3 linked regions of the Struthio camelus genome follow. The protein of the gene in region 1 interacts with the protein of each later gene in a pairwise test. Links are inferred from orthologs where the notes say so. Each region holds a gene or a part of one and is shown on either strand. Other genes may lie near its edges.

Region 1 (8,033 bases):
CCCGGGGATCACCCCGGCGAGGGGTTTATCCGGAGGGCGAAGCGCAGGGACAGGCGGCTCCGGAGGGCGAAGCAGCCGGCTGAGCCCGGGAGCGGGATGCTCCGTAACCGCCCTGCTCCCGCCGGCTGCTTCCCAGCTTGCTTCCCGGCTTCGCAAGCCCACCGCGGCCCCCCGGGATCGAACCGCCAGGGAGCTTCCCATCGCCGGCGCTTTGCCGAGCATCCGACGTCGGCGCCTCCCCACCCGACGCCCTACCAAAAAACCCCGGCACGCTCCTATTTGTCGCTTTCTGCCGGTTCGCTCCTGTTCCAAGGATGGGTTTTCCGAGCGGCTCCGCCACCGGCGGCCCTCGCCCGCCAGCCCCCTCCCTCAGCCCTCCTGGGAAGCATCCGCACTGCAGATCTCGGCGCCGCGCGAGGCGCCCGGCCTCGCCGGAGACACAATGGCGACCTGCCGCCGGCCCGCACGGCTCCCCCCGCCGCCGCGCGAGGGGGGATTTGGAGCCAGACGCTCCTTTGTTCGGGATCCCTTCCCGGATCGGCTCCCCCCCTCCCCTTCACCCCGGCCCCAGCGGAACAAAAGGGAGGTTTTGGCACCGCGCCGGCGCGGCGGGGTCGGGGGGACCCGGCTCACCGGGGCCCCGGCCCAGCACCTGCCCTGGGAGGGGGGCCGTGCCATGCCGCCAGCTGCGTCCCCCACCTTCCCGCAGGGTCCGTCTCGCGTCAGACGGACTTCCTGGGGCCGGAGGAGCTGCCCCCTCGCCCTTATTTCTGGGAGGGGGAAATATTCCCTTTGGGAAGGGGGCGGGAGCGAAACGGGACGGCTCTCGCCGAGGGAAAGGGCTGGAAGCGGGAGGGACGCCACACAGCTCGTCGTCCCCCCCCCAAAGCCAGACGTCTGTGTCGCTGCCCCCCAAAAATCGGACCCCTGACGCGCCCCCTCCCTGGGGCCTGTTGCTGCCTGCCCTTCCGGACCCCCCCCCCCCGCCGACAGATGGGTGGCCCTTGTCGTGGCGTCGCCCTCGGCTCTGCTGCAGCCCCGGCCTCGGGGAGACCCCCCCCCCTCGGCTGACCCACAGCCCTCCGTCGCAGAGGGCCTTTGGGCAGGTGTCACACAGATGGTCCCGTGTCCCCCCTCCCCGAGATCACACCCGCCCGTCAGCCAGCTTTCCTCTCGTGTCCCCACCACCGCGAAAGGGCTCTTCTCCCTCTCCATCCTTGCCCCGAGAGGGCTCCACCACAAAAGGGCTCCTCACGCTCTCCGTCTTTGGCCCCAAAGGGCTCTCCTCCCCCTCCCATCCGTGCCCCCCACAAGGGCTTTTCACCACCTTGTCTGTTCCCCCAAGAGGGCTCTTCACCCCCCATATTTGCCCCCCAAAAGGGCTCTTTGACCCTCTGTGTCCATCTCCCCAAGGGGGCTGCTCTCCCCCCCCATCGGGCTCTTCACTGGCCCATCTCTGTCCTTCGAGAAGGCTCTTCTCCCTCCCCATCTTTGCCCCCTAAAAAGGCTCGCCACTCCTCTGTCTCGGTCCCCCCAAGAGGGCTCTGTTCCCCCCCATTTGCCCTCCAAAAAGGCTCTTCTCCCCCCCAGCTGTGTCCCCCCAAGAGGGCTGTTTCCCCCATCTTTGCCCCCCGAGAGGGCTCTCCACCCCCCCATCTGTGTCCCTCGAGAGGGCTCTTCTCCCTCCCATCTGTGTCCCCCCCCGAGAGGACTCTGTTCCCCCCATCTTTGCCCCCCGAGAGGGCTCTTCTCCCTCTCCATCTTTGCCCCCTAAAAAGGCTTGTCACTCCTGTCTCTGTCCCCCCAAGAGGGCTCTTCATCCCCCCATCTGTGTCCCCCCAAGAGGGCTCTACTCCCCCCATTTGCCCTCCAAAAAGGCTCTTCTCCCCCCCATCTTTGCCCCCCCAAGAGGGCTCTGTTCCCCCCCATCTGTGTCCCTCGAGGGCTCTTCTCCCTCCCCATCTTTGCCCCCTAAAAAGGCTCATCACTCCTCTGTCTCTGTCCCCCCAAGAGGGCTCTGCTCCCCCCATATTTGCCCTTCAAAAAGGCTCTTCACCCCCCATCTGCGTCCCCCCAAAGGGCTCTTCACCCCCCATCTGCGTCCCCCCAAGAGGGCTCTTCACCCCCCAATCTACGTCCCCCCAAGAGGGCTCTGCTCCCCCCATCTGCATCCCCCCAAGAGGGCTCTGCTCCCCCCATCTGCGTCCCCCCAAGAGGGCTCTTCACCCCCCAATCTGCATCCCAAGAGGGCTCTGCTCCCCCCAATCTGCGTCCCCCCAAGAGGGCTCTGCTCCCCCCATCTGCGTCCCCCCAAGAGGGCTCTTCACCCCCCAATCTGCATCCCAAGAGGGCTCTGCTCCCCCCAATCTGCGTCCCCCCAAGAGGGCTCTGCTCCCCCCAATCTGCGTCCCCCCAAGAGGGCTCTGCTCCCCCAATCTGCATCCCCCCAAGAGGGCTCTTCACCCCCCAATCTGCGTCCCCCCAAGAGGGCTCTGCTCCCCCCAATCTGCGTCCCCCCAAGAGGGCTCTTCACCCCCCAATCTGCGTCCCCCCAAGAGGGCTCTTCACCCCCCAATCTGCGTCCCCCCAAGAGGGCTCTGCTCCCCCCAATCTGCGTCCCCCCAAGAGGGCTCTTCACCCCCCAATCTGCGTCCCCCCAAGAGGGCTCTGCTCCCCCCATATTTGCCCTCCAAAAAAGCTCTTCACTCCCCATCTGTGTCCCCCGAGAGGGCTCTTCACCCCCCGCGTTCGTGCCCCTCGAAAGGGCTCTTAACCCCCCACCCGTGTTCGTGCCCCCAAACGCGTCCCCCCCCCAGCCCGTGCCCCTCCCCGTGTGCCCCACCCCCCCGCCCCGGGCCCTTACCAGCACAGGACGGGGAACCGGCCCCTTTGCAGTCCCGGGCCCCCGGCGGGGGGTGAGGGACGCCGGGCTCGGGGTGACCGGCGGCGGAGGAGGAGGAGGAGATGTAGGGGGACTGGGTGGCGGGGTCGGCCATGGCGGCGAGCGCGGAGCCTGGGCGAGGAGCGTCCGTCCCTCTCGGCGGCCGCGCACCGACTGACAGGGCGCGCGGCGGGGCGGGGCGCGGCGGCCGCGCGCATGCGCCAACGGCCGCCCGCGCGCGCGCGCCGCCTCCCCCCACCGCCCCGCAGCCGGGCGCCGCCGCGCACGCGCCGACCGCCGCCCCGCCCCGCTTCCCCTCCCCTCCCCCCGCCTCGCCGCAGCCGGGCGCCGCCGCGCACGCGCCGACCGCCGCCCCGCCCTGCCCGCGCCGCACTCCCCCCCCCTCCTCCGCCCCGCAGACGGGCGCCGCCGCGCATGCGCGAGGCCGCCGAGGCGCGAAGGGTGGCCTGCGTGAGGCGCGCCCGTCGCCATGACACCCGCTGTTTCCCAGCGTGCACCGCGACACTGGCGCCCGCCTGACGCGCGTTGCCTGCTGGGAGCTGTAGTTTCCCCCCTTCCTCCGGCCTGTAGAGGCGGCTCTAGGGATCACGCCGGGCCCCGCTGTCCATACGGTCCCCTAGGGTGCCTATATGGCCCCCTACAGGGTGGATGGGGCTATAGGGTGGCCCCTGAAAGGAATAGGGGCTATAGCGTATTCCCTGTAGGGGATGGTGGCTCCCTACGGTCGTCTGTAGGGCATAGAGGCCCTATGGAGGGAGCGGGCTATACGGTGCCCCCGGCAGCGGCTGCAGCGCTGCGGGATGTTGCGGTCACTGCCCGCCCGCCCGCCCCGCCGCATGAATGAGTCACGCGGGCCCGCCCCCCATTGGCCACGCTCTCGGCCAATCACCGCCCTCGCACGCGCCGCGGCCTCCCTCCCCCCCCGGCCGCCGGCGGGCGCACGGTGAGGGGAAGGTGGGAAGGGGGGGTGGACCTCCCGACTTGACTGACATGGTTTCGACCAATAGCGAGGCGAGGCGGGAAGCGGCTGGCCAATGAGGCGCGCCTGCCACCGCCGCCCGCCGCTAGAGGGCGCGGGGGGAGCGGTGAGTGACAGCGCGGCGGGGCGGGGCCTGGGGGGGGGCCTGGGGCGGAGCGCCGGCTGGCCAATGGGGAGCCGGGGGCGGGGCTAACGGGACGGCCGGCGACGCGGGGGGAGGAAGCGGCGGCAGCGGCGGCGGAACGGTGAGTCGGGGGGCGGGAGGGGGATCGGGGCTCACGTGACCCGGGAGGCGCCGTCACGTGACGTGGACCGGAACGCGGGGGGGGGCCCGGTGCACCGGGTCCCACGTGACCCGAACCGGGACCGGCTCTCTACGAACCGGGACTCCCGGTGCGGACCGAAACCCGCTTGACCGGGGACCCACGTGACCTGGTCCGGGACCCCCCCCCCCAATATGGACCGGCCCACGTGACCTGTGCCCTCATGTGGACGAGGACCCCCCCGTAGGGACTAGGAGCCCCCTATAGGGGCCGGGACCCCCTGTAGGGCCCGGGGACCCCTATAGGGACCGGGGACCCCCTATAGGGCCCGGGACCCCTATAGGGCCCGGGGACCACCTATAGGAACCGGGACCCTCTATAGGGACCAGGGACCCCTATAGGGGCCAGCCACCCTCCTGTAGAGACTAGGAGCTGCCTATAGGGACCAGGGACCCCTATAGGGGCTGGGATCTCCCTATAGGGATCAGGGACCCACCTGCTCAGGCTTGAGACCTTCCATATGGGCTGGGACCTGGTCCGAGAGCTGCTCCACCTATAGATCATGGACCCTTCCATATGTACTGGGACCCTCACGCGTATTGGAGCCCCCTATGTGAACCAGCCCCCATGTGCCCCAGTCCCTGCTAGATGGGCTGGGTCCACCCCCAGGGCCCTGTAGAGGCTGGTAGCCCCTGTAAAGGCCTGGGAACCCCTATAGGAACCAGCCTCCATGTGACCTAGTCCCGTTATACGGGCTGGCTCTGCCCCTATCGACCCTATAGGGATGGGGAGCCCCTATATGGCCCGGGACCCCCATCCCGGTACAACCTAGTGCCCCCAGTTTGGCTCCGCTCGTCCCCAGCTCCCCATCCGTCCGTCCGTCTGTCCGGCCCCGAGCGGCTCAGCTGCGCGGGGCTGGGGGGGGGCCTATATGGGCCCCATAGGGGGCCGGGCAGGGGCGGGAGGTGAACGGTCGCGGGGCCCCGGCGCGCCGGACTTCGCCCTCCCGCCCCGGCCCGTCAATGATTTACGCGGCCGGCGGGGAGCCGGGGCGTGCGAGGAGCGTGCGAGGCGGCGTGCGAGAGCGGGGCAGGCGCGAGCCTGCCGCTGTTTGCCCAGGCGAGGTTGCCAGGAGCAGCACGCGCTCGTGCGAGGGAGGCTCTCGTGCAAGGGGGACCCGCTCGTGCGAGGCAGGCGCTCGTGCAAGGCAGGTGCTCGTGCGAGGCGGTGCAGGCCCGTGCGAGGGGGGGCGGGCTGGCGCGGCTGCCAGGCCCCGCGCGCTCGTGCGAGGGAGGCACGCGGTGGGGGGGGGGGGCTGCGTGTGCACGGCACGCCTGCGCGCACGGAGCGTGCGTGTGCGGGCGACGCGTGTGCGTAGGCAGAGGGGCCCCGGGGCGCCCCGGGGGGCCCGGCCCCCCCCCACCTGCTCCCCTGGGCAGCCCCGACTGGGAGCACTGGGGGCCGTGGGGGGATTCTCCAGCGGCTCGTAAGGGGCTGGGACCGTCCTCGAGCCGGGGAAGGGGTCCGAGGCCCCCCCCCCCAGGCCGGCATTTAATTTAATCCCTCCTGCCGCTTAGCGCCTGTTAATTAGGGAGAGAACAAAGAAGGCTAATTCGATTCGGCCCGATCCGGGCGGCCGGTGCTGCTTCAAGGGGCCCTTTGTGCCGAGGCCAGCTGAGGCCGTGCCAGCTCGCTGCATGCCCGGGGCCGCAGGCGGAGGCCTGTCCCAGCACCCCCCCTCCCCCCCCCCTGCAGCCACCTGCTTTCAGGACCCCTTGAAGCGGGGGGACCGTCCCGCCCAGCGCCCCGTTCGGTGAGGGGTGACCCCCGGGTGCCACCCCGGGCGCTCCCCCCCCCCCCCAAGGGCTTCCCCGTCGCGGCCGGGGCCGGGGCCAGCCGCAGCCTGGCGCGGACGTGTCCCGCTTCCCGAGGAGGGGAGGCCTTGGCCCGGCGCCTCCCCGGCTTGGCCGCCAGCCTTGAGCCGCCGCTCGGCTCTTAAGACGCGCGGCGCCTTTCGGGAGGGCTGGCGTGGAGCGGCTCTTAGGTGCGCTACGGTAGCCCCCCCAAAAAGGGCCGGGGGGGGTTATACAGCGCCTTGCACTGGGGTGCTGTGGGGCGCTGTCTTAGGGGCGTTATGGTGCTGGTGGCGCCGGGGGGGAGGCTCTTGGGTGCGCTGAGGAGGCAGTGGGGTGCTCTGGGGCTGCCTCGGGGGCGCCCTGCAGTATTCAGGCACTGGGGCTGTCTCTCAGGTGCATTACGGTAACAGTGGGGTGCCATGGGGGCTGGGGGTGTCTCTTAGGTGCAGTATGGTAGTGGGGTACTGGGGGCATCTCTTAGGTGCAGTATGGTAGTGGGGTGCAGTGGGGCGTCCCTTAGGTGCAGTATGGTAGCAGTGGGGTGCCTTGGGGGTGGGGGGGCGTCTCTTAGGTGCACTATGGTAGTGGGGTACTGGGGGCATCTCTTAGGTGCAGTATGGTAGTGGGGTGCAGTGGGGCGTCCCTTAGGTGCAGTATGGTAACAGTGGGGTGCCTTGGGGGTGGGGGGGCATCTCTTAGGTGCAGTATGGTAGTGGGGTGCAGTGGGGCGTCCCTTAGGTGCAGTATGGTAACAGTGGGGTGCCTTGGGGGTGGGGGGGCATCTCTTAGGTGCAGTATGGTAGTGGGGTGCAGTGGGGCGTCCCTTAGGTGCAGTATGGTAACAGTGGGGTGCCTTGGGGGTGGGGGGGCGTCTCTTAGGTGCACTATGGTAGTGGGGTGCAGTGGGGCATCTCTTAGGTGCAGTATGGTAACAGTGGGGTGCCTTGGGGGTGGGGGGGCATCTCTTAGGTGCAGTATGGTAGTGGGGTGCAGTGGGGCGTCCCTTAGGTGCAGTATGGTAGCAGTGGGGTGCCTTGGGGGTGGGGGGCATCTCTTAGGTGCAGTATGGTAGTGGGGTGCAGTGGGGCATCTCTTAGGTGCAGTATGGTAACAGTGGGGTGCCTTGGGGGTGGGGGGGCATCTCTTAGGTGCAGTATGGTAGTGGGGTGCAGTGGGGCGTCCCTTAGGTGCAGTATGGTAGCAGTGGGGTGCCTTGGGGGTGGGGGGGCATCTCTTAGGTGCAGTATGGTAGTGGGGTGCAGTGGGGCATCTCTTAGGTGCAGTATGGTAACAGTGGGGTGCCTTGGGGGTGGGGGGGCATCTCTTAGGTGCAGTATGGTAGTGGGGTGCAGTGGGGCGTCCCTTAGGTGCAGTATGGTAGCAGTGGGGTGCCTTGGGGGTGGGGGGCATCTCTTAGGTGCAGTATGGTAGTGGGGTGCAGTGGGGCATCTCTTAGGTGCAGTATGGTAACAGTGGGGTGCCTTGGGGGTGGGGGGGCATCTCTTAGGTGCAGTATGGTAGTGGGGTGCAGTGGGGCGTCCCTTAGGTGCAGTATGGTAGCAGTGGGGTGCCTTGGGGGTGGGGGGGCATCTCTTAGGTGCAGTATGGTAGTGGGGTGCAGTGGGGCATCTCTTAGGTGCAGTATGGTAGCAGTGGGGTGCCTTGGGGGTGGGGGGGCATCTCTTAGGTGCAGTATGGTAGTGGGGTGCAGTGGGGCGTCCCTTAGGTGCAGGACGGTAGTGGGGGGGTAAAGGTGGGGGTTCTCTGATGTCTCCTATAGGGGTTGATCCCCCCCGTCCCCCCCCCACATTTCGGGGCCAGAGGGCACCAGGCAGGGGCCCGGATGCCTGGGTCCCTCGGCCTCTGCGTGCGGTAGGGGTGGGAGGCCCGGACGCCTGGGCCCCCTGCTGCAGGGGGTGGGAGGCCCGGACGCCTGGGCCCCCTGCTGCAGGGGGGAGGGGATCCTCTGATGTGTCGTGTAGGGGTTGGGCCCCCCCCCCCACCTCCACGTTTTGGGATGGGGGGGTCAGAGG
Region 2 (7,389 bases), on another chromosome or scaffold:
AAACTGAACTAGTTTGGAGCCAAATTAAGTATTTTGATTAAGATAGTTTCAACATCAACCACCATTTTTGGTGCAAAACCAAAGAAAAGCTGATGTTTAATGGATACTTAACATGCTTAACACATAAACTGTTTGACTAAAGTATTGTCTAGACACGTCATGAATATTTTGGTTTCCTCTGATGGAAGACTATTTTATTGTCTTCATTTAGTAGTTCCAAGTGCTTAAAATATAAGCCTATTATGTCCTAACCCATCATTAGGCAAACACGGCACCTGTGTCACAAGCAACGAATCTTTTACATCACTTCTCACCTGCACTACCCAGCTCTCATGCACCACAATTATGCCTCCTTCACTCTACCTACTCTTGAAAAGAAACAGTTCAGGAATTATTCTGCTTTCTGCCTTCCCTTTCTGGGGGCAGGGAGCAGAAAAAAGAAAAACAAAAAACAAAACAGTTCTAGAAAACATGCTTTTATCCCTACTTTTCAGAGCAACAGCAAGATTTGGTTGACCCCATTCCTTCCACTCCGTTCTGCTCACACTTTCCACTGCTCCACCCAAACAACTTACCCAGAAAAATTTCTATTCACCTGTCATACATTATCCCTCCTCATAAATCTTTTGCAAGTTTGTGTGAATATCTGCCCTCCAAATGGTGGAAATGAAAGAAGTCTCCGCAGCATACTGTTACTCTGAGAGCTAGCAAAAGAACAAAACAGTAGCATCTAGACTTCCTGAAAGAAAATAGCACAATCATTCTCACATACACAAAACGCATTGTGAAAACTCCCAGAAAACAAAATTAAATTCATGTTTAAGAAAGACTTTTTATTGTGTTCTAGGTTTTAATTAAACTCTGAGTATCACTTTTATTCATACCTTGATATCAAGTCATCGTGGAAATTCTCCATCTTTTAAAACAAATGCACCAGTAAGACAATAGTAATTAAGATAAGAAACTACTGTCTTCATAAGAAGGCACCTCGATTTTGTTTGTTTTCACTGTGTTAATCACCTCAAATTAGCTCTTGTATTTCAAACTAAGTGCAAGTGGAGCCAAGATACAATTGCCATCAGCATATGCAACGCATTAGTCATCCCTGGTCAGCCCCTGGATTAGAGACCTTGCAAGGGTTTTGGTATTTTAGCAGTGCTGACGATTGCTCAGTGGGTAGCACGCCTTCCAGTACAACAGCCTTGACCTAGGCAGCACCCCAACATTAAGGGGCCGTCTCTTAGTGGAGGTACTTGGAGGTACTCTCTCCACACAAGTCCCAAGCCCCAGCTGTGGCTATTTGTGACTGTCCAGGATCTCAAGCTGGGGGCATACGCATGATGTGAGGCTGGCGTTTTTTTCCAATGCTACCACACCTACAGCAACATGTCTTCTATGTGCCTTTTGTGCTTGCATGCAGACTTTACCAGCTCACATTTTTCTTTTCCTGTGGGATTTAAGATTCATTGTTTGAAGCAGAAGAGCACTACCACAAAGGACTATTCACAAAAGAGCTGCACGCTTTGCCAAGCCCGCAGAGAGAGCCACCCATCAAGTCACCTTTTGCCTGGCTGCAAGCCCTCATGAGGTAGGTTTAAGGAAGGAGATGACCCTTAACTCCTCTCCCTCATCCCTCCCAGGAAGGTGACTTGTTTGAAACGACTAAGATTAAAAATACTTTGCACGTTCCCCGCCCCCCCCACCCCGCCCCAAGAGATATTTCTAGGGCCGCAGTACGTTCACGCCGCCGGTCACGGGCGCCGCCGACGCCACAGGGCGGCTCAGCATCCCGCAGGCAGAGGGGCGGGCGCCCATCTCACCGCCGCCGACCGCCCTGCCGGCGAGCCAGCGTCCCCGGCGCCGCGGGGGCGACACGACCAGGGCAGGCGCCTCCCGCGCCCTCCGCCCGCGGCGCAAGGGGCCGCAGCCCGAACCGCCTCGACCCAAGCCGGCGGCGGCCGTTACCTCAGGGCCCCCCGCCGCCACCGCCCACCCCCCGCGGCGGCGCCGCGCGACGCGGCCGTTGCCAGGCGGCGGCGGCGGCGGGTGGGGCGGGGCGGGCACTGCGGCCTCGCCCCCGGGCGGAACATGTGCGAGGCGCGGCGGCGCTTTCCCCCTCCCGCCATTAACATAAGAAAGAGAGAAGGGGAGGGGAAAGGGGGGAGAGAGAGAGGGGGAAGAAAGGGGAGAAAAAAAAAAAGAGGAAAAAAAAAGAAAAACCCTTTTTCCCCAAACGAGCCGGTCCGAGCGGGCTGGGGGGGGGGGGGGGGGAGCCGCGCCCCAGGGCGGCGGCGGGAGGCCGCGGGGCGGCAGACAAAGGCAGGCCGGCAGCCCGCCGGCGGGAGCGGGCAGCCGGACCGCCTGCGAGGACCCGCCGCCCCCCGCCCCCGGGGCGGCTCCGCGGCCCTGCCCGGCCCCGGCGCGCAGGCACTCACCGGCCGAGCCGGAGGAGGACCCCCTTCTCCGGGGGGCGGTGGCGGCGGCGGCGGGGGGCTCCGGCTTGGTCGGCAGCGGGTGAGCGGGCCGGGCGGGGGCCGGCGGCTGCTCCTGCGCGGGGGACGGCGTGGCGGCGGCGGAGGTGGAGGAGGAGGAGGAGGAGACGGAGACGACGCCCGGGGAGCTTCGGTCCGGCTGCGGCGGCTCCGGGGCGGCGGGGCGGGGCGGCTCGGCGGCTCCGCCGAGGTCCAGCAGCTGCGGCGGCCGCTCCGGCTGGGCGGCGGCGGGAGGCGCGGCGGGCTTCCTCTCCATCACTTCCAGCTGCTCGTCGAAGTCTTCATCCTCGTCCTCCTCTTCCTCTTCTTCCTCCTCCTCCTCCTCCTCGTCTTTCTCGTCGTCCAGCACGAACTGGTACTTGAATTGGGGCTGCTGCGGCCGTACCGGCCCAGAGGAGGAGGAGACCAGGGGGGACTGGTCCAGCTCGTCCATGGTGCCCGGAGCTGGCGGAACAATGAGTGCGCGGCGCTGGGCTGGGCTGTGCCTGCCGGCTCCGGTGGCTGCCGCGGGGGGAGGGCGAGGGCTGCGCCGCCGCCGCTGCGGGACCAGCCTCCACGCCCTGTTGAGTCACCGCGGGGGGAGACGCCGGCGCAGCGCCACCGCCTCGCCCCGCCCCGCCCCCGCCCGCGCGGGAGGGGCCACCGGCGAGCGACTGCTCCGCCGGCCAATAGGAGCGGCGGGGGCAGCCGCGAGGCGCCAGCGCTGGCCACTGAGGCGCGGCGCCGGGGGAGAGGGGGTGTGGTCGCCTCACGAATACTCAGCGAGGGGGGGGGCGGGCTGCGCCGGGGTTGGGGGGGGGGGCGAAGTTGGGTAAAGTTCAGTGCGGAGAATGCGGGGCGGGGCCGCGGCGGGGGGGGAGGGGAGCGCCGGCCCCGCCCCCGGCCCCGCCCGGCCCCGCCCCCGGGCTCCCGCGGCCCCCGGCCCCCGCGGGCAGGGGCGGGGCCGCCCCGTGGTGCCCGGGGGCCGCGTTGCCGCCGGGGCCCCGGTGTGAGGGGAGCGGGGCTGCGTCACGGCCCGGCCCGGCCCGGCCCAAACGTGCCCGGCGCGGTCCGGGGCGGTGTCCGCAGCCTGCCGCGGCCGAGGCCGGCGGCTCGTGAGTCATCTCTGCCGTCTGCCGGGGCGTTTTAATTGTTGATATTCGGGTTTTTGGGTGTTTTTTTTTTTGGGGGGGGGGGTTGTTTGTTTTTTCCCGCGCTCCGGACACCCGCGGTTTGGGGCGAGGAGAGGATGTCGCGGGGCTCCCGCAGGCCGGGGGCGCGGAGCCGCCTGACGCGTTTTGGCCCGCAGCGGCGCAGCCGGGGACATCGCCCCGGCGGGGGGTGGGGGTGGGGGCTGGGACATGAACCAAAAATTAACCAAAACATGGTGCCAAAAAAAAAAAAAAAGGAAATTGTCTAAAAGAAGGGTACTGGGAATCCACTGGCTGCGCGGGGAGGCGACGTTTACAGCTCAGGTAAGCTTGTTTGTCCGCTCAGGCCGGGGTGAATCAGCCGCCTGAACGGATTTAACCGTCGCTTGAAAATGTGATTTTAAACTGTGCGACTGGTGCAGGGAAACATTAGCCGCTCGTTCACAAAGCAAAACATTCACGCCGGCCTCTGTGTGTTAGTTCTTTGTTTTCCGACCCGGGGCTGGAGCACTGGCCGAAGCCCTCAGGGTGACGCTTGATTTAACTGGCATGGCATACATTTGGATGTGATTTCCACCCATATAGCCACCGCAGCTAGAGCAAAGGGGCCTGCAATTCTGTATTTGCCCTTCTCCGACGTTACTATGGATTTTTAATCCCACAAATGATTTATTCTCCCATATGTCGCTACGTAAAGAAATTAGTTCATGGAAAGTATTCAGAGGAAGGAAACCGCAAATTCAGTGTTGCGTAACTTAAGAAGAAGGCACGACAAATCTCTTATCGCTGCAGAGCCCGTTCTGCTGTGATGCGATGTGTGCAAAGATACGTACGCGTGGCAGCAGTCCCACTAAGCAAAATGAATCTTTTCCCCTGACTTACTGCTTGACATGAGGAAAGTCTCAGGAGGGGTCCCGATTAGCATATCTCAAGGTATCCATGCGGTGGGAGCTGCTGCCTTTCGGATGAAAAATGCAGGGGAGCCTTCGGCCATCAGTAGAAGACATCAGTGTTCCCTGCCTCGATCAGAAATGACTAAAGGAAATACGGAAAGTGGAAAGTAATTTTGTGAATACACTGAAGGCAATAGAGATACAAAGTTTCACAGCACGTGAATAAGCAGGTAACAGTCTGTAAGTTCTTTAGACTTCATTCTTTCTCCCTAGGATTTTTTTTATTCTCTACTGATAGTTTATCCATGGACATTTCAAGTCAGCCCTCTTACAGTGACATAATAATAAAGGCTGTTGGCATCAGGACAGATGGATAAAGGCAGCAGGACAGATGGATTAAAATTAATGTATTGCTAAATATAAAACAAGTAAGTTTTTCCATACAGTAAATGGCTAAATTCTGTACCTAGTTTTATTGTTACAGCTCTGTTACAGTCAATGAACTGCATATGTGCAAATAAAAGAATTGGCCTAGCGGCTCAACTCATCCTTACTGAAATTTATATTACACTACCTAGGACAGAGTTTAAACCAATGTTTAGCTCAGCAAGCTCACATTTGAACCTTGAACTTCACCTAGAATTACATCAATTATCCCCGAATGGTATTTTTGACATGGCAGATCGCATGGAGGATCACAGCCCAAAATCCCTGCTGTAACTCCAGGACTGTACCTCCAGTAATTCCACTTCACTGCACCAGCAGTGAATTTGGATCATGGTTTAATATATCAACTGACATCTTCAGTCTTCTTTTTACTTACCTATTGATAGGTCTACCCAGTGTCTTACAGCAGTAGCCACAGCACAAGTACATACAAAGAAAATCTTAACAATACTTCCTCCGTTTTCCTACCAGCTAGTAAATTTGGAGAATATACGTGGGGGGCAACACTCAGTTTGGGGAAATGCAAATTCTCAGATTTTTCCACTTTGAGGGGGCTTAAAATTAATGTAGTAAATTGCATTAAGAAAGTAGTAACAATCCTGTGCTTCTATCTATGCTAAAAAACAGGCCAGATGCAATGACCTTGTCAATGAATACGACTGTGAAATCTTCAGTGGCATTTTTACCCCTTTCACCAGTAGCTGACTGGGACAGAAATGTTTTACTAGAAGCAAATTCAACTTTTCTGTGTATCAGTCTATTACATCCCAGGAAAATAAATATACTTTCATTCTTGTGTTGCAAATTTTATTCCTTGTATAGCAAATAAAAGTGATTTGAATAAATTACCATTTCACCTGCAAATCTAAAATTTCTCATCTGTTGGTTAAACAAGAGATTAAAATTTCATTAAAATATACTCTTAGAGAACAAGCTGCTTTCAATAATTTGTAAAATTCTGAGTATAGACAGCGCTGTCGCTCTAATTTTAACATATCTAACTGCAACGATTTTAGTCATCTAGGAGTAGGAAAATCTATGTATAATTCAGTTGATTTTATCAGAATGCTTGAAAGAGAATCCATCATCAGTTAAAGAGAAATGAAAGGGTTTTTCATTTAAAGAAAGGAAGTGACTCAATGTCTTGAAGGGAAACAGGAAGGGAGTTCCACATAGCCTGAGCAAGTCAAATTAACCAGCGAGAGGAAAGCACAGCTCTCCACTTCTGAATATGCATTGCAAAACTCCCTTTCTTTTTGCTCTTTAGAAGACTATTTTACATTTCTTACTTGAAGATTATCAGCAAGTAGGACTACTGTGCGGATATTTAGCAAGTTAATTTACGAACTTAGTTCTTCATGAGAAGTTTTCAGATATAACACCCTTGTGAAGAAAAGCACTGAGTGCATGAAAAGAAACACTGGTTGGTATGTTTCTGTATTTCTGTAGCAATGCTGACAATAGCTATGCATTAGTTGGATTTTCTTCTTCACTATCCACTGTGACCTTCTGTTTGATCTTACACAGAAGTAACATGATATCATAGCATATCACAGACTATCACTAGGAAAATAATTGTGACATGACAAATCCAGTATTATGACTTCATAGCAGGATCAAACAGAAAAAAGCATTTGGTCTCAGAAGGTAGTTTACAAACACACAGTTAAAACTCGCAGTGATAATTGGATTTCTGTCTCTCTCTTAAGCTCAGTGTACAGTCCTTCAGCTTTCAGGCATCATGTCTTTATCTGTGGAAGAATGAAACCCTGCCAGTCTTTTGCTTTCAGATCATGCCTGTGCTGCAGTGCCTTGGGCATCAAGCATATTTACCCATCAGTTTTGTCGAGGCTTGAACAGCCGTTGTACTGCTCTGCAAGATCAGTAGTCGGATACGGTGACAAAACCACTGCGTAGTTTAGTAATACAAATGCAGCACATGGAGGGAAAAATTTGTTAAAACCACAGTATGCGCAGAGGGATTGCCATCTCTTGATGGTAACTGAGGCAGGTTTAACTTTATCAGAGTCTCCTGTGGGGCCTGCGTTTCAGCCTGGTCCTCTTAAATAATTAATACTTTCTTGAGAGAAAGTCATTTTTTGAGTCTTTTGTGTTCTTTTGTGTTCCAGGCTCTTCTGATCCTGGAATTGTTTCTAACATCCCTTAGGAGTTTACTGTGGGCTCACTTGAGTTGAGCCAATTTTTCTAGTTTGTGATTTTTTTCCCCCCAAAAATCATCTTGATAAATCAAAACAGTCCATTTCTACAGTAAATGTATTAGTAACCATGGCAATATACAGTTTTCTTACTCAGATCTGTCGCAGACTTTCTTTAAAAGCTTCCTTCAGGCAGCCAGACAGGTGCTGAGCCAGTCCACCTGCAGAAAGGAAAGTAATTTAAGAGCAGCTCTAAATTACACCGACAGCC
Region 3 (7,533 bases), on another chromosome or scaffold:
AAAATTCAGCTCAGCCCTGTAGAACCAACCAGCACCCCAAACTCTGTGAGCTTCCCTGGCATCCCCAAAAGGTTTGCCCAGTTATTCCAGTAACCGCTGGCCCACAAGCTGTAAAGATGCTGGCATTTAGATGAAAGATTCATCCTTCTGCACAATGGGCTGCATCCAGCTCCGGCTGCAGAGCGGCTCACAGAACAGGTGACAAAAAAGAGACCAGGGCACACGGGAGGGATTCAGTACCTGGCAGTCGTAAACAGGGTGTCCTCTCCAGCACATCACATCCAGGATATAGTACGTCTGCTGCGCCTCATTGTAGATGCAGTCCAAGATGCTGTAAACTGCACACAGACACAGGGAGATCCAGACACGCTCCAGATACTACCAAACCCAAAAGGCAATTTAATTAGATCAAATCTCTCCTGCATTAAACCCTAGCACTGATGGAAGCCTGAGACAGGCAGAGACTCCCTTCTGCTGAACAGAAGGCATGACCACAAAAAGCTTAGCTTTAAGAGCCCCGCAAGCTCAAGAACTTCAATCAAAAGCACATTTCAGAATAAGGCACCTATCCATTGATAAACCCTCCTCAGGGCAAGCAATGCAACTGTATGGGATATTGAGAAAGGCCATCCTCCTTCTTAGCAAGAAAAGCTACACCCTTTAACTTGAGAAACATCAGCACCAAGGGGTCACTGGAAAGATACTGTACACAGCTCTGGTACTTAAAAGGGAGGAAGATGCTGAGGTTTAAGAGCATCAGGTGAGCAGGCAGCTGATAAAAAGTTGTTCTTGTGTAGCATAAAGGTGTCCGAGATCGTCCATGTCTAGTTATCCCCACAGATTCACGAACAGGGCTGAAGCTAATAATCCCTGGCACCAGAAAAGGGTACAGCTCTGCTGGGCCTGCGGGAGCTGGAGGAGCAGCACTGAGCCTGTCATGCAGGCAGACACACACACACACACGGAGAAGCAGGCTTGTTCTCCTTCATCTATTTCAATGGCCTCTTCAGATCATTACCTTTCTCATTTAGCGAATTGTGCCGGTTCCCACCCGGCAGCAGGGACGGGAACCTGTTGACACAGAAGCCACTCTTGGTGTAAGCTGCTGTTGAGCCCTGCAAGGAAGTGGGAGAGAGAAAAGTCAAGGCCAGTCTCCCTGCTCTCATGCCACACGTCTGACTGCACCCAAGGCTTTGAAACCCAGGTCTCCGTTACAACCACCTCCAAGCAGCCTGTCAGAGGAGAGCAGTACTCACCATTAGATACGGCTCTGTTACTACCACATCTCTCAGCGCCCAAATTCTTTCAGTTCAAGGAGAGTTTCAGCCCCACACGGCTCCCACAGCACAAGGCAGGCAAGACACACAGGCCAGCCTTTGGTTTCATGTCATGTTGGCATGATGACGTAACAGACACATACAGGTCCTTTACCAGGTGGTGAGACTTCACCACTGCTCTCTCTTACCTTGGATGCCACAACCAGTGCCCTTCTCCCTGTGGGGCACACCACTACAACCCACTCTTGCTCCAGATCCAAAGGGACATCTACCAGCCACTCAGACAGCATCAGCTGAGGAGAAACCCCCCCAAAAAGGCAGTTAGTAACAGCTCTCCTGAAGTTATGGAAAACTCACAGCTCAAGAACAAAGCAAGAAGGTTTTGACTTGGTTTATACTGGGTGCCACAGAGGCAATGTGTATTGCTCATCACCCTGCAATACAGCACCATAGGAGCATGGCTCCTTCTAACCAACCTGCAAAACAAACTCTTCCCCCAAGCCTTTCTCTTACTTCCCAGCTGCCAGCTGAAATTCAGAGTACAGCACAAGACCCACAGTACTCACTTTTGCATCCCAGTACCTTAATCCCTTTTCCAGCCTCGCTTCAGCCCTTTGTTGTTGTTGTTGTTTTTTAATTATTATTTTAAATATGCAGCAGACCTTAGAGATTGCTAAATAAAGGAGTAAAGGGACTAGACAAGTGAGCCTCTTCAGACCCCTGAGATTTCCTGGCTATGATCACCTGGGAGGCTGTAGGTCTTTTAGAACCAATATAGTGCCAAGGCTAAAAACACCCATCAGTTGAGGTTTCCCTTCCTCTCCAGCTGTACCTGATGGGAGGAGAGATAGAATCTTTAATCAAGTATTGCACAGTGGGACATAAGTGTCTCTAGCAGAGCTGAAATCTCGCAAGGAACCCAGCCAATCCATCTCAGCCTGTCCTCCATTTGAAGACAGCACGTCTCAGAGGAAAGAGAGATGAGTAGTGGTTCTGCACTGAGCACCCAGCTAGGACACACTGCTCTCAGCCCCAACACACCCATCACCTAGAGCACGCCAGACAGGAATATATTCACCGCGACCCCCCACAACGTTAACCTCGCCACGTTCGTCACCTTGCTCAGCACCGCAGCCCCATCCCCACCCTGTCACAGGGATGGGGACAGCTCCTCACCTGATTGGCATAGCGCTTGGGCAGCTTCCGAGGAACATCCACCTCCATCTCCTCCTCATTCGCACCTTCCTCCGCCTCCTCTTCCTCCTCGCTCTCGACTCCTGCCCAGTCATCCTCTGCCAGCCTCCTGGCATGGTTCACGTAGTCGAGCCGCCTCCTGCCGAGGAGAAAACAGTCCTGCTTTGCCTCCGCGGCAGGCGGCCGGGCACTTCCCTGCCCCTCCGCGCTCCTTAGGGGCTGGCTACCCCTCCGCCGCTAGGGAGGGCGGGAGGAGGCGCAGTCCCCGCAACCGCCCCCCGCCCCCGTGAGCCGCGGGACGGACGGACGGAGGGACGGGCTCGCCCCCGCCGCCCGGCCGCGGCCCAGGCCCGGCCCGGCCGCCCCCCTGCCCGCGGCGCGGCCCCGGCGGGCCCTTACGCTCGCTGGAGGCGGAGGAGGCGCTGGCGGCGCTCGGCCTGCCCCAGGCCGCGGCCGCGGGCCTTGTAGGCGGCGAAGCGGGGGTGCGGCGCCGCCGGGCTGTTGGGCGCCGCCGAGACGGCGACGCGGGCCGCCAGCGCCTCGCTCAGCTCCTCCATGGCAACGCCGGCCCGCGCACGCGCACTGCCCGCGCCGCCGCCCGCCCCTTCCGCCCGCGCGCCTGACGCACTTCCGGCCGCGCCGCCGCCCGCCGAGGGACAGGCGGCACCGGGCAGGATGTGGCGGGTCAGGCCGCGCGGGGGCGCGCACAGCCCCGCCCCGCCCCCTGCCGGCCCCGCCCCCTGCCGGCCCCGCCCCGCCCCCTGCCGGCTCCGCCATCAGCCCCAGCGCCGCCATCATCATACGCGCAGCGCCGCCCGCGGCCCCACGGGGCCCCGCCGGCCCCACGGGGCCCTGCCTGCCCCACAGTGCTGCCTATGGCCTCTCTCTGCCTGCCCCACGGGGCCCCGCCCGCCCCACAGCGCCGCCCGCGGCCCCCGCCAGCCCCACGGGGCCCCGCCGGCCCCACAGGGCCCTGCCTGCCCCACAGTGCTGCCTATGGCCTCTCTCTGCCTGCCCCATGGGGCTTTGCCTGCCCCACAGCGCCGCCCGCGGCCCCCGCCAGCCCCACGGAGCCCCGCCGGCCCCACAGCGCTGCCCGCGGCCCCCGCCGGCCCCACGGAGCCCCGCCGACCCCACAGCGCTGCCCTCGGCCCCCGCCGGCCCCACGGGGCCCTGCCTGCCCCACAGCGCAGTCGTCAGCCCCACATCGCTCTGTTGGCCCCACAGAACTGCCCATCGTGCCGCCATCCCCCCACAGCACCTTGCCGGCCCCATAACATCACCCCATAGCACCCTGCCTGCCCCCTAGCACTACCCCTTGACACCCCGCTGGCCCCAAAGCTCTGCCCCACAGCACTGCCCCGTAGCGCCGTCCCTTAGCGCCCTGCCTGCCCCATGACACGCTACCTGCCCCCGGGCCCTGGCCCTGGCCCGGGGGGGGACGTGCTGTGGGTGCCCCCTGGGTGCCTTCGGGGCAGCCACCACCGCCAGTGCCCCCGCGGGCCCTCCGGTCGGGCGTGGGACGGTGGCTCTGGGAAGCAGGCAGTGCCGGGCAGCCCATGGCACAAGGACGAGTGGGGGGCAGGCCCAGCGCCCCACGGCAGACACCCCCCGCGGGTGCGGATGGGGAAGGCTGCCTGCAAAGTGGGAAGGGGAGGACGATGGCGCTGGGAAACGGCAGGGACATTGGGGACATGCGGGACAGGGGCGCCAGGACCCCGGGGGCGGGGACGTTGGGGACATGCGGGACAGGGGTGCTGGGACCCCGGGGGTGGGGATGTTGGGGACATGTGGGACAGGGGTGCTGGGACCCCGGGGGTGGGGATGTTGGGGACATGCGGGACAGGGGCACCAGGACCCCGGGGGCGGGGATGTTGGGGACATGCGGGACAGGGGCGCCAGGACCCCGGGGGCAGGGACGTTGGGGACATGTGGGACAGGGGCACCAGGACCCCGGGGCAGGGACGTTGGGGACATGTGGGACAGGGGCACCAGGACCCCGGGGCAGGGACATGCAGGACATGCAGGCCAGGGGCACTGGGACCCCAAGGCAGGGACGTTGGGGATATCTGGGACAGGGGTGCTGGGACCCCGGGGACGGGGACGTTGGGGACATGTGGGACAGGGGTGCTGGGACCCCGGGGACGGGGACATTGGGGACATGTGGGACAGGGGTGCTGGGACCCTGGGGGCAAGGACGTTAGGGACATGTGGGCCAGGGGCACCAGGACCCCGGGGCAGGGACATGCAGGACATGCGGGCCAGGGGCACTGGGACCCCAAGGCAGGGACGTTGGGGATATCTGGGAGAGGGGTGCTGGGACCCCGGGGACGGGATGTTGGGGACATGTGGGACAGGGGCACCGGGACCCCGGGGGCGGGGACGTCGGGGCCATGCGGGCCGGGGGCGCCGGGCCGGGGAGGCCGGGGCGGCGGCGGCGGCGGCGGCGGCGGGGGCGGCGGCGGCGGGGCCCCGCCGGGCCGGCGCCTGCAGAGGGCAGCGTGCGACCTGCCGGGCCCTGCCCGCCGCCGCCGGGCCGCAAACCGGGGAGCTGGGCGCTGCCGCACGGCACGGCGGGCTGCGGCGAGCCCGGCACCGGCACCGGCAGCGGCAGCGGGCGACGGGCAGCGGCAGCAGAAGCGGCACCGACACCGGGCAGCGGCAGCGCAGCCCGGGCGGCGGCGGCGGCGGCGGCGGCGGCGGCGGCGGCGGCGGCGGCGGCGGCGGCGGCGGGGCCCCGGGAGCCCGTGCCCGGCCATGCGCTGAGGGCGGCCCCGCGGCCCGCCGTCCCCGCTCCGCAGCGGCCGCGCAGCGCGCACCGGGCACCGGGCGGCGGAGACCGCGGCGGCGGCGGGACCGGCGCCGCCAGCTGCCCCGGCCGGGCTGGGCTCGCTGCTCCCCCTTTTCCTTCTGCGCCCGCCCGCCCGCCCGTCCGTCCGTCCGTCCGTCCGTCCGTCCCACTAGAGGTCTGCGGATTTCGTGAGAAAAAAAAAAAAAAAAGGCCTCCCGGAAAGGAATTGCAAAATACTTGTGCTGGGATCACCGGGAGGTTGTGTTGTGTTTGGGTTTGCTTCCCGGCGATTTCCAGGCGCCCGCTGACTCCGAGCTGCGCTGGATTTCCTCGCTGGGAAGTGAATTTGTGTATTTTAAACACGGATCTCGAAGAAGAGTCCTGTGAAAGTCACTTTGGATTTCCTAATTTGGATCAAGATCTTTTCTTAACGTAAGTTAAAACCAAGACGGCGGCGGGACCAACGACCCAGCAAGATAAAAGCTCCGGGGAAATGGCAGACTTCGGGATGTCTGTTTGTCCGGCCGAGGTTTATATCACGTAGAAGGAGGGAGTGGAACGAAACATGTTTTTTGGTTGCCCAAGGAATGTTTTCTTAAATTGGTGCACTTAGATCGCTGGAGTTACTTGAATGTACAGACCTTGGTGTCAGATGTTAGAGGATTTATATCTTTTTTATTTCTGTGTGAAATCGGCTAAGCCTTTTCCCACAGCTCGGTAGCAGGTCCCAAGCCACTGAAGTGCGTGACGGCTGGGTCTAGCAGCGACCCTTGGACTATCTGGAGGTATTGTTGTTGGTTTATTGTTTTTTTTGTTGTTGTTGTTTTTTTGCTGCGGGGATTGAGTTACACCGTCCCCCTGGGAACGGCCATGGCGTTGAAAGCCAGAGCACTTTACAATTTCCAGAGCGAAAACAAAGAGGAAATCAGCATCCAGGAGAACGAGGAGCTCGTGATCTTCAGCGAGAACTCCCTGGATGGGTGGTTACAGGGTAAAAACAGCCGCGGAGAGACAGGCCTCTTCCCTGCCTCCTATGTCGAAATCCTCCGGTCCAGGTCAGGCTCCAATTATACGGACTATTCTCACAGCCCCGCCGGCTCCCCTGGGCACGACTCCTCCTTCTACGTGGCTCCGACCAACCCCAGTGTCTCCTACCAGGGCAGTTTTGAGGACGACGATGACGACGACTGGGATGACTGGGATGATGCCTGCACAGTGGTGGAGGAGCCTCGGAGCACTCCAGGCACCAATGGGCACCCTTCGCCCACGCTGCAGTACCCCACGGCTTACTCGCACCAGCACGCCGGCTACCGCCCCAAGCCGGCGCTGGAGAGGCAGGACAGCATGAGCTCCTCCAAGAGGGGCAGCGTGGTGGGGAGGAACCTCAACCGCTTCTCCTGCTTCGTCCGCTCTGGGGTGGAAGCCTTCATCCTGGGCGATGTGCCTCTGATGTCCAAGATCGCAGAGGTGTACTGCATTGAGATGGGCTCCAAAGGCCCCCAGTGGCGGGCGAATCCCCACCCCTTCATCTGCTCCGTGGAGGACCCAACCAAGCAAACCAAATTCAAAGGCATCAAGAGCTACATCTCCTACAAGCTGACCCCCAGCAACATCAACTCTCCCGTCTACCGGCGGTACAAGCACTTTGACTGGCTGTACAACCGCCTCCTGCACAAGTTCACGGTGATCTCGGTGCCCCACCTGCCTGAGAAGCAGGCCACCGGCCGCTTTGAGGAGGACTTCATTGAGAAGCGCAAACGGCGGCTGATCTTGTGGATGGACCACATGACCAGCCACCCCGTCCTCTCCCAGTATGAGGGCTTCCAGCACTTCCTCTGCTGCCGCGATGAGAAGCAGTGGAAGCTGGGCAAACGGCGGGCAGAGAAGGACGAGATGGTGGGGGCCAGCTTCCTGCTCACCCTCCAGATCCCCACGGAGCACCAGGACCTGCAGGACGTGGAGGACCGTGTGGATGCCTTCAAGGCTTTCAGCAAGAAGATGGACGACAGCGTCCTGCAGCTGACCAACGTGGCCTCGGAGCTGGTGCGCAAGCACGTGGGGGGTTTCCGCAAGGAGTTCCAGAAGCTCGGCAATGCTTTCCAAGCCATCAGCTACTCCTTCCACATGGACCCCCCGTACAGCTCAGACGCCCTCAACAACGCCATCTCCCACACGGGCAAGACGTACGAGACCGTGGGGGAGATGTTTGCTGAGCAGCCCAAGAACGACCTGTTCCTCATGCTGGACACTCTCTCTTTGTACCAGGGGCTC

The links.
Region 2: the proteins of RTN3 (region 1) and RTN4 interact in binary tests that used the Homo sapiens proteins (3 or more experiments, as listed by UniProt). The link is inferred for Struthio camelus from reciprocal best matches to the Homo sapiens genes RTN3 and RTN4.
Region 3: the proteins of RTN3 (region 1) and tyrosine-protein phosphatase non-receptor type 9 interact in binary tests that used the Homo sapiens proteins (3 or more experiments, as listed by UniProt). The two-hybrid records come from large-scale screens. The link is inferred for Struthio camelus from reciprocal best matches to the Homo sapiens genes RTN3 and PTPN9.

The regions. Positions count from the first base shown.
Region 1 is NC_090976.1:1,170,798-1,178,830, forward strand, and holds the start of RTN3 (reticulon-3), read right to left. Parts: upstream 3,080-8,033; 5' UTR 2,997-3,079; coding exon 2,864-2,996; intron 1-2,863. UniProt on the Homo sapiens protein: May be involved in membrane trafficking in the early secretory pathway. Inhibits BACE1 activity and amyloid precursor protein processing. May induce caspase-8 cascade and apoptosis.
Region 2 is NC_090944.1:118,941,546-118,948,934, reverse strand, and holds the start of RTN4 (reticulon-4), read right to left. Parts: upstream 3,074-7,389; 5' UTR 2,926-3,073; coding exon 2,436-2,925; intron 1-2,435. UniProt on the Homo sapiens protein: Required to induce the formation and stabilization of endoplasmic reticulum (ER) tubules. They regulate membrane morphogenesis in the ER by promoting tubular ER production.
Region 3 is NC_090953.1:23,095,585-23,103,117, reverse strand, and holds the start of tyrosine-protein phosphatase non-receptor type 9, read right to left. Parts: upstream 3,072-7,533; 5' UTR 3,029-3,071; coding exon 2,871-3,028; intron 2,611-2,870; coding exon 2,454-2,610; intron 2,110-2,453; exon of another isoform or gene 1,571-2,109; coding exon 1,466-1,570; intron 1,116-1,465; coding exon 1,019-1,115; intron 339-1,018; coding exon 241-338; intron 1-240. Other genes in the region: SNX33 (sorting nexin-33), read left to right, coding at 6,133-7,533. UniProt on the Homo sapiens protein: Protein-tyrosine phosphatase that could participate in the transfer of hydrophobic ligands or in functions of the Golgi apparatus.